Linked DNA regions of Sus scrofa. The protein of the gene in region 1 binds, or shares a complex with, the protein of each later gene. Links are inferred from orthologs where the notes say so. Each region holds a gene or a part of one and is shown on either strand. Other genes may lie near its edges. The genes, in order: MYO3B and ESPN.

The links.
Region 2: the proteins of MYO3B (region 1) and ESPN are in contact, whole or in part, in a crystal structure (PDB 5ET1), measured with the Mus musculus proteins. The link is inferred for Sus scrofa from reciprocal best matches to the Homo sapiens genes MYO3B and ESPN. Residues at the interface, in XP_017174528.1 of Mus musculus: Arg1223, Arg1224, Gln1226, Gln1227, Pro1228, Lys1229, Met1230, Leu1231, Ser1232, Ser1233, Asp1236, Thr1237, Met1238, Tyr1239, Tyr1240, Asn1241, Gln1242, Leu1243; in NP_997570.1 of Mus musculus: Leu35, Ala37, His41, Arg45, Ala67, Asn69, Ala71, His75, Asp76, Ala79, Thr80, Asp101, Ser103, Leu110, Arg113, Phe114, Thr135, Thr137, Ala139, His143, Tyr144, Ala147, Thr169, Asn171, Tyr177, Leu178, Gln181, Ala203, Asp205, Met207.

What each region holds. Positions count from the first base shown.
Region 1 is NC_010457.5:76,440,800-76,445,195, forward strand, and holds the start of MYO3B (myosin-IIIb), read left to right. Parts: upstream 1-1,358; 5' UTR 1,359-1,438; intron 1,439-4,396.
Region 2 is NC_010448.4:67,282,469-67,286,916, forward strand, and holds the start of ESPN (espin), read left to right. Parts: upstream 1-1,637; 5' UTR 1,638-1,809; coding exon 1,810-2,103; intron 2,104-4,448. UniProt on the Homo sapiens protein: Multifunctional actin-bundling protein. Plays a major role in regulating the organization, dimension, dynamics and signaling capacities of the actin filament-rich microvilli in the mechanosensory and chemosensory cells.

The DNA.
Region 1 (4,396 bases):
AAAGACAGTCAGTTTAGTTTTACATATGTTTGAGGATCAGAGGAGGCAACTAAGGGGAAATGCGTGGCAAGCAGTTAGTAACCCTGGGCTGGGGCTCAGACGGGAAATAGGGCTGAAAAGATGGTGCCGCTTGCTAGGATGTGAGAGCCTGGGGTGTAGATGCGTCATTTGGAAGACAAGTGGAGGACTGAGGGAGGACTTCAGTTTCAACAGTCACATTAATCGGAGAATGGAAGCTGATGCAGCAGGTGGAGAGGCAGAATAGGAACCAAGGAAGTAAGATGTGAAGAAAACAAAGGGGGGGGGTAGTGTTTTAAAAAGGTAAAGGCCGTGAGCAGTGGCTGATGCCCTGGAGGGTGAGAATGAGGATTAAGTGCCTTGACTTTCATGATTGATAGGAAGCTTTGAAATCGAAATTCAGTAGGGAGATTTGGCTGGAAACCAAATCCTCTGCCTTGTGAAAAAAACAAACATAGTCATACATCTCTGTATGAGTGTGTGTGTGTGTGTGTGTTTGTATCTGCAGTAATACTAAATAAGACTGGTTATGTTTGGATATGGGACTTTATGAGGGTTGTAATATTCTTGTTTTATTTCTCTGTGTTTTCTTGGTGTTCTATGAAACAACACTTATTTTTTAACTGTAAGAAAACCTCATTGGTTTTATAGTTCTGATTTTTAATCCCATATTAAACATTTACTGAGCACTTATACAATGAGGATTTGCTGATGAGACAGAAAATTATTAAGATGTGGCCTCTGTTCTCTTGGGGCTTGCTGGTGGAGAAGACCGACATGTCAACAGGAAATGCCGGTCAATGTGACAACTGCTAGAAACAAGCACATGGGACAGAGAGACTATTCGGGACAGAGAGGCTATTAAGGAAGGGCCCCTCTAGTAAGATTAGGAAAGGCCGCCTAGAAGAGATGACATCCGAGCTATATTTGAGTGGGTTCTATCTAACCCTGTGCAGACAGGTTGTGAAGAAGCCAGTTCCTACAGATGGACCTAGTCTCTTTCTTACCAGTCTTTGCCGTGATATCATGCACTTGCTTCTGTATTAGTTTCGAATTATTCTCTAATTTGTTCAAGTTTATACGGTGTGTGTTTTTTAATTGTGTGTGTTTCTGGGTGTTCATATTTAATATTTGTACTAATTTGCTCTGACCTTTCACTGTTTACTGCTCTGATTTCTTTTTAAAAGCTAACCTCTAGCTCGGAAAGCACAGTTCTATGATTTGTGATTCGTGTAGAACGTCCTGTAACATATAGACACAGTAGTCTGAGTAACATTCTCAGAAATGGAAATCCACATGAATTTTCTCATAAGTGTAAAATGTTGCTTGACAAGTTTCTATTTAAATGTACTTGCTAGGCATGACTGACCACAGGAGTTTGCAGGGTGCATGTTTCAGATTGCTTTATTATTTCAGCAAGGTAAGGCTTCGGCTCCACTATGGAATCACACAGGATGTTCAGCAAGGGTACAGGGCCAGACTCCCTTGGGGTTGTTAGCAACTAAAACCAGCCTATGAGGGACTCATGAGAATGGGGTTGGGGGTGCTTCTTAGAGGAATGCAGTAGGAAATTTCATGGATACTCAAGGACAAACAGCAACGTTTAGCAGGCCTCAGGGGGCCTGGATTGAGAATTCCGTAGTGAACTCACTCACCAGTTCTCTTTGGTTTTTTCCTTCTCTGCTTTGCTTTTCTTCCCAAGATGTGTTCTACACTTTCATGCGGTTTCTGCTTTTCCATGACTCCAGCGTGCATCTGGGCCAAAACTGTCTCCTCTTTAGAGATGCCTTATTTGTTTTAAAAAATAAATAATACATGTCTCAGCAAAAATATGACTAGTATAGACAGGTATAAAGTTTTTAAAAATTATATTAATTTCTCTCTTTTTCAACCTCTTTGATTCCTGGTACCTCTCGCTAAAGGTTGAGTTTTGTAGCCTGGAAAATATAAAAAGATACACAATTCTATAGAGAGATACCTACACATAAACATATTCATAAAATGGCTATGAGTGTAAATTTTATTTTCATTTACACAAAATTTGTTTGTTTTTCAATACTTTAAAAATAACCTGGAATTGTATATTTTGTCATTATTTCCATATTAGTTGAAACAAAACTTACCTTCTTTAAGTGGTTATATGGGGCTAGATGGTATTTCATTTTATGTAATTATTGTGTTTTGTTACATAATATCTCTATAACGATGAACCATGAGGTTGTATCTTGTTTTTTAGTAGAAACAATCTCCTTTTCTTGACTAAACTGTTTTATTATTAGGTTTTATTTTTCCCCAGAGAACTATACCTTTAATTATGTATTCTATTATTTTTCTGTTCTCTGACTCATCAATTTCTTCTTTTATTTTTTTCATATACTTTCCTTAGGTTAATTTTGTTGATCCATCTCTACTTTTTTTTTTTTTCCCCATACTGGCAGCACATGGAAGTTCCCAAGCCAGGGGTCTAGCCACAGGCACTGTAGAAGCAATGCCAACAGAGTAGTTATGTTGTGAGCCATGAGGGAGGTCCTACCTTTTTGAAAAGAATGCTTTTTAATTCATTTTTATTAAAATTGCCTTGGTAAAATGTTTAATGCTATAAGGTTTTGCCTTGAGCCCAGCTTGCTAAGTTTTTTGGTAGGTTAATATCTTTAATATAGTTATTTTATTATATACTCTAATTTTAGTTTTAACTTTTTCCTTTGCGTCAAGATCTGAGGGAGCTTTGAAATTTTCGGGTATCTGGGCTTTTTCTTGTTTTTATTATTAACATACAGTTCCAATTCCGCTTTCCTAGAATGCATTGAGACTTTACCTTGTGAAATAATGTACTCTTTCTTTTTAAAATTAAAATTGTCAGTACTATAAAAGTTATATCCACACACACACACACACACACGAAGATCATTCACCATATTGATTGTATAATACCTATTTTTTATTTTGTCTCTTTGTTCTGTCATGACTGATAATATCTGTTACTATTATTGTATGTTGTTGATGTCTTCTAGAAGTTTATGTTTTTATAAATTTTAACAATTTGCTTTCATTACTGAAGGATTACTATAATTTATAGCTGTAAATCTTTCACTTATAAAGATTATAAAGATTATAAACTTAGAAACTCATTACTGATTTAAACATATAGAATAGTACTTGATATAGCATATAGAATAGTACTTGATGCATATAATTGCTCAATTTTATTATTGAATGTACTGGTAACATTTTATGTTCTTTAGCCACTTTTGCCTTGAATTTACTCTTTTCTGATATTACTACTATGATTATTTTTGTTGTTGTTGTCATTACCATTTGACTGGCTTTTCTTTGACCTCTTTTTACTTTTAATCTTCCTGATTCATAAAAAAGACTCTTAAACAGTTTACTTTAGTGCAAATCACTATAGATTTGGTTCATTCTCACAAAATAATCCTATATTTATTGGTATAATAAATTTTGCAGCCATATTTCTTAATTCATGTTACATTTTCGATTTTTAGTGCTTCCCTTATCTCTTTCCTCATGGGTTGTTTTTTCTTCCTGTGGTATAATTATGTGTCTACATGAGCATGTGTACTTTTTAATGTAATGTCAAAGATTTATCCTCTATTTTGTGGCCTTTTAGAGATTCCTTTTATAACTTTGTATAGTGATTTTTACTTCTATTTATCAATTTATCGGTTATTTGACTTAGATGAGTGAAAAAATGAACACATTAACAAAATAATTTGTTAATATTGTCATTTCAATTGGTTAAACTTTATAATTTTAAACAGTATATTTAACTCTCAATTTCTTCATTTATCATCTTTAGAAAGTCAAGAAACTTTCCCCTCCCCCCAAGTTTGGTTTATTATTATTTTTATTGGCTAACACTTGGGTTAAGTATAAAAATATCTGTTCATACTTTTATCTCCCGCAGACCTTTGTACACATAGATTACAAATTTTCCTGTATTGAGCTTTGGTGTGGAGAGAAGCCTGAGCTTTATGTTCTGTTTTTTTGCTTTTCACTGTGTTTTGGAGTGTGTGTATGTGTGTGTGTCTGTGTCTCCTCTGTACCTGAAAAATTCTCTCTTTACCTTGACATTCAGTAATTTTACTAGGAAACTTTTATCTGTCTGGACTGTTCATTTTGCCCTCTAATGTACGGGTCTTGGACATTAGGGGCAGTCATGCTTGATGGATATTGACTTTGTCCTTCTTTGTGAAATATTGTTTAAAGTGCTGTGCTAGCATTATTCCACTTGGCAGGAGGCATCTCTTCCTGCATGTCTTTGGAAATGTAACTTGTTTTAGAATAGAGTCTGATTATTTCTTTTACTTCTTGTAATGACTCGCAAAGCCTAGTTTTGAGTAATGTAGGCAAAAAGTTC
Region 2 (4,448 bases), on another chromosome or scaffold:
AGGAGCCTGAGGAGATGATTGGCAAGGATGGGTGGTCCCCTGACATTTATGGAGAGGTCCCTGTCAGCAGTGGGAGGGGCTCAGGGACACTCTTCTGCCTTGCCCAATGCCCTGACTTTGATCTGGCCCCCAAATGCCGAAACCATATGATAGAAGAGGGAGGGTGTCCAGGTCCAGGGGAGCCACCTTGGGAGTGGAGAACATGCACTTCAGGGATTTTTTTTTCATGGTGGAGGCACAAGGGAGGGGCCCTCAAAACAAGCCATTTTAGCTCTTTCTCCTCAAAGCACCCCCGCCCCCGCCACTCACAGGCCTCAGGGAGACTCCTCCCTCTCTTGGTCCAAAAACCACTGGGCGAGGGTCCCAGACCCCAGCATCCTCAAGTCCCATGGGGGAGTGAGGCAGGTGGGGGTCGGTGGAAGTTGTTGGAAACCTACCTGATCACTCAGCTCCAGAGATCCCAGTTTACAAAGGTGCCATGGAGCACAGGCGGCCATTGCATGTGGCGCCACCTGGTGGCATCCTCAGGGAATTGTATTCAGCCACAGCCCCCGAATTCCACCCTAAGACTCCCACTGTTCCTGGAAACAGCTTCACTCCACAGCATTTCCAGCACCATCCTGTGCCGGGGGGCTGGGGGGGGGGGAAGCACAGGATGTTTCGAGGTTGCCGGATGTGCAACTGTGCTAACAGTGTTTCCTCCTGTCCAGCGCTGTGCCTCCCTCCAGCTCCCACGAAGGGCTTCCGGCCAAGCAGGCAGGGTGGTTTGGTGCACGTGTGCTCTCCCGGCCCGCCGCTCTCCCAAGGCCTTCCTGTAACTTGGGGAGGGGTCCTGACTCTGCTCTCTGGGTGGCTGCCCTGGTGCATCTCCCCATGACCCCCAGTCCTTGCATGCCTGATTTCCATCTCTCACCCTGGAGCTCAGGATGACGCCTCCCACCCCAGAGCCCAGGGTCTCTAGATCTGGAAACCAGGGCGCAGCAGGCATTTCCCCCTCTCCCCTTTCGCCCCTCTGTCCCTCCTTTGGGAGGCTCTGAGGGCAGTTCTTGGGGTCTGGAGGGAACCAGGAGGGCCGAGGGCCCAGCACCCGTCCCACGTGCCGGGCCATGGACCCAGAGCCCCTCAGGGACTCGTTAGTCCTGTTTCTGGCGCCCCCGTTGCCCTGGAAGTCTCCCCTGTCTGGAATGCGTCTTCGTCGAAGCCTCTGAATAAAGCCCAGCCCACCGCACCTCCTCAGGTGGCCCTGCTGCCCACGCAGCCCCTACGACTCTCTTATCTTCCCGCTTTCCTCTTCTGATCTCACTCTGATCCCTCCCTGGAATTTCGGTCATTGATGCTGGCTCGTGTCCCCAGCGCCTGGAGCTGGCCCTGGGTTGATGAATGAATTCGTCGGGAGGCTCTGCCCGACAGCGCCCGGAGGGCTCTTGAATTCGAACCCAGTCTGGCCACCCTCCGTGGTCTCCTTGTGGACGGGAGGGAAGTTAGGAGAGAAGTCCCTGGGCGCACGGCCTCTGCGGCCGCGGCGGAGGCGGGAGAGGGACTCGGGCGACGCGGGGCGGGGCGGGGGCGGGGCGGGGGGCGGGCCCGAGGCTTAAGCGGGTCGCCGCTGGGGCCCCGGGCCCAGAGCGCGGCGGAGGCGGAGCGGAGCGGGCGAGGCAGCGCGGGGCAGAGACCGGGCCGGCAGCCGCTCCGCCTCCCGACCGGCAGACCCCCGACGGCCGCGCCGCGGGCTCTCCCGGGGCCCGAGGGCAGGGGCATGGCGCCCCGGGGAACGCGCTGAGCGCGGGTCGCGGCGCCGCGGGCGGCACCATGGCCCTGGAGCAGGCGCTGCAGGCGGCGCGGCAGGGCGACCTGGACGTGCTGCGGTCCCTGCACGCCGCCCGCCTGCTGGGGCCCTCGCTGCGCGACCCGCTGGACGCGCTGCCGGTGCACCACGCGGCCCGCGCCGGCAAACTGCACTGCCTGCGTTTCCTGGTGGAAGAGGCGGCCCTGCCCGCCGCGGCCCGCGCGCGCAACGGCGCCACGCCGGCCCACGACGCCGCCGCCACCGGCCACCTCGCCTGCCTGCAGTGGCTGCTCTCACAGGGCGGCTGCGGAGTGCAGGTGAGTCCGGCCACTTCCTGGGCGCCCGGGAGGCCCCCTCCGCCCCAGCAGGGAGTTCTGGCCAGGGGCCCGCGGGGCTCAGGGATGAGTGGGCCGGGAACCTCCCGCTGAGCCTCCCTCGGACTCCCACCAGAGGACCTGGGCAGGGTGGGCTCCCCAGGTTGAGAACCGGGCAGCTGCTCTGGCAAGCCTGGCCGCCGCCTAGAAGAGCACCTGGGTGATAGGAAACCAGAATAGAATGGGGCTCAGCTGGGATAGTATTTAAGCTGGGGCTGGGGAACACACGGAGCCAGGCAGCCCTGGAGAGTGGGAGGGGTACCAGGGCCTTGGGCAGCAGAATCCGAAGCCCCCGTCCTCCAGGATCAGGTCTGGAAAGGGGAGGGGCACAAACCCTTGGCTCATCCCAGGCTCAGTTGCACGTTTCCTCATGGCCAGCAGTGGGGGTGGAGTCGGGGCTTGGGAAGAGGGGTGCCTCCCAGGACCTGAGCTGACTCAGGACCTCAGCAGCTTTCCGCCTCCCAGCTCCTTCAGCCCAGCCTCAGTCTTTCCACCCCGAGACCCCACCTGGTCTCACTCAGTGCCCCCCTCCCTGCAGCTGGGATCAGCCAGTCTGCCTCTCCTGAGCTGGAGAAGGAGGCAGCTCAGGCCCTGATAGGTAGCTCTCCTGCTCAATCCTGCTGCAAAGAGAGCATCCAGCAGGTCCTTGGCCCTGGGGATTCAGGTGTGCTCCTCTCTTGCCGCTGCCAGTCCATCAGGGCAACAGACAGCAAAACCTCGGGCTGGAAAGTAAACCAGGTACCTTCAGGCACTGTTTGCCCCCGGGAACTGCCTGGACAAGGTGGCCAGGGAGGGCATCCGCGAGGAATGACCTTCAACGAGAGTCTTGGCTGATGGGAAAGAAGTGACCAGGGGACAGTCAGAGAGTTCCACACACGTGGAGCAAGAAGGACAAAGCCTTGAGGGGACACAGTCTTGTCCCGTGGCAGGGATGGCAGGGGAGCGAGCATCTTTGGAGCCAGGAGGGAGGGAGAAGCCAGCAGGGCCAGGTCCTCGAGGGTCCTGTAGGCTGGTCAGGAATCTGCGCGATGCTCTGGTTGCAGGGGAAAAGCCAGTGAAGGGAGGAACCAGAGCTGATTTTCCACCGAGCAAGACCACCGTTAACTGGATATGGATGGAGAGGAGGCAGGGGCCGGGTGGCTGTACCAGAAGGGTGGCCAGGTCCATCCCCCACCTTTGGTCTCAGGCAAAGCCCCCCATCCCACCCTTCCTGGGAGACGGCCCTTATCTCCTGGCAAGCTCTGTTATCAGGAGTTCCTGGCACGTGGTCCATGCCCACTCTTCTGGGAGGCAGTGTGCCTCCCAGATCCCAGTGTCGATCCTTGGCTGGAAGCCCTCCCAGCCCCTGTAGAGGAGGAGAAGGAGCAGGTGGCCCTGTGCCCAGCTTATCAGGTCTCCCGCCCTCTAGCCTTGGGGCCTGGGTGCTGGGGGCGGAAGTGTGTGTGTCGGGGAGGATGACCTGGATCTGGGGCCCTGCTCAGCCCAGAGAGATAAGCAGCTTTAAGGTGTGGGCTACAGCACGTGAGGCTCCGGGGGGACCCACGTAGCTGTTGGAGCCCTGGGGACAGGCCATAGGCCTGTGGTCCTTTCCTTACTGCCACCCTCGCCCAGAAGCCCAGAGCCATCAGGACCCCCTGGAGCCTCAGACCCAGTCCCCGAGGCCAGAGGGAATCGAGGGCCTTTCTCAGGAGCTGGTCCAGTCTGGGTCACCTCTAGCCAGCCTTGTCCCCTGCGCTCAAGAGGACAGACTGAACCAATCCTCTTCCCTGAGCGTGGCACACACAGAGGCCTCTCAGCGGTGTCCTCGGCTTCCTATGGGCTGTTTGCTCTCCCTCCCCTGCCTCCCTGCCTCGGGTCTGGCCCATTTGTTTGCCCCTCACCCCAGAGCCCCACCATGGCTTCCCTGTCGAGCCCCCAGGCCCATTTCCTCTGTTCCCTCTTTTCTTTCTGCATTCTTTGTTTTGAGGGGGGCGCCCATGGCATGCGGAATTTCTCAGGCCAAGTGTCGGACCCGGGCCATAGCAGTGACAATGCCAGATTCTCCACCCCCTGCGCCACCAGGGAACTCTACCTTTTACACTTCTTGGAGGAGCCTCGGATGTTCTGCTGCTGAGATTCATCTTCCTTAAGCTGGAGATGCCTGGCCCACACCTGTTCCCACGGGGCCAAGGGGCTTCCTAGTAAACCCGCTGCCTCTCACTGCTGCCCTGCCCCCCTGCCCAGCTCCCCGCCCACCTCTCCGTCATCCCATGCCCTCAGTGCTGGGAGCTCATTCTGTTCTAGGACCA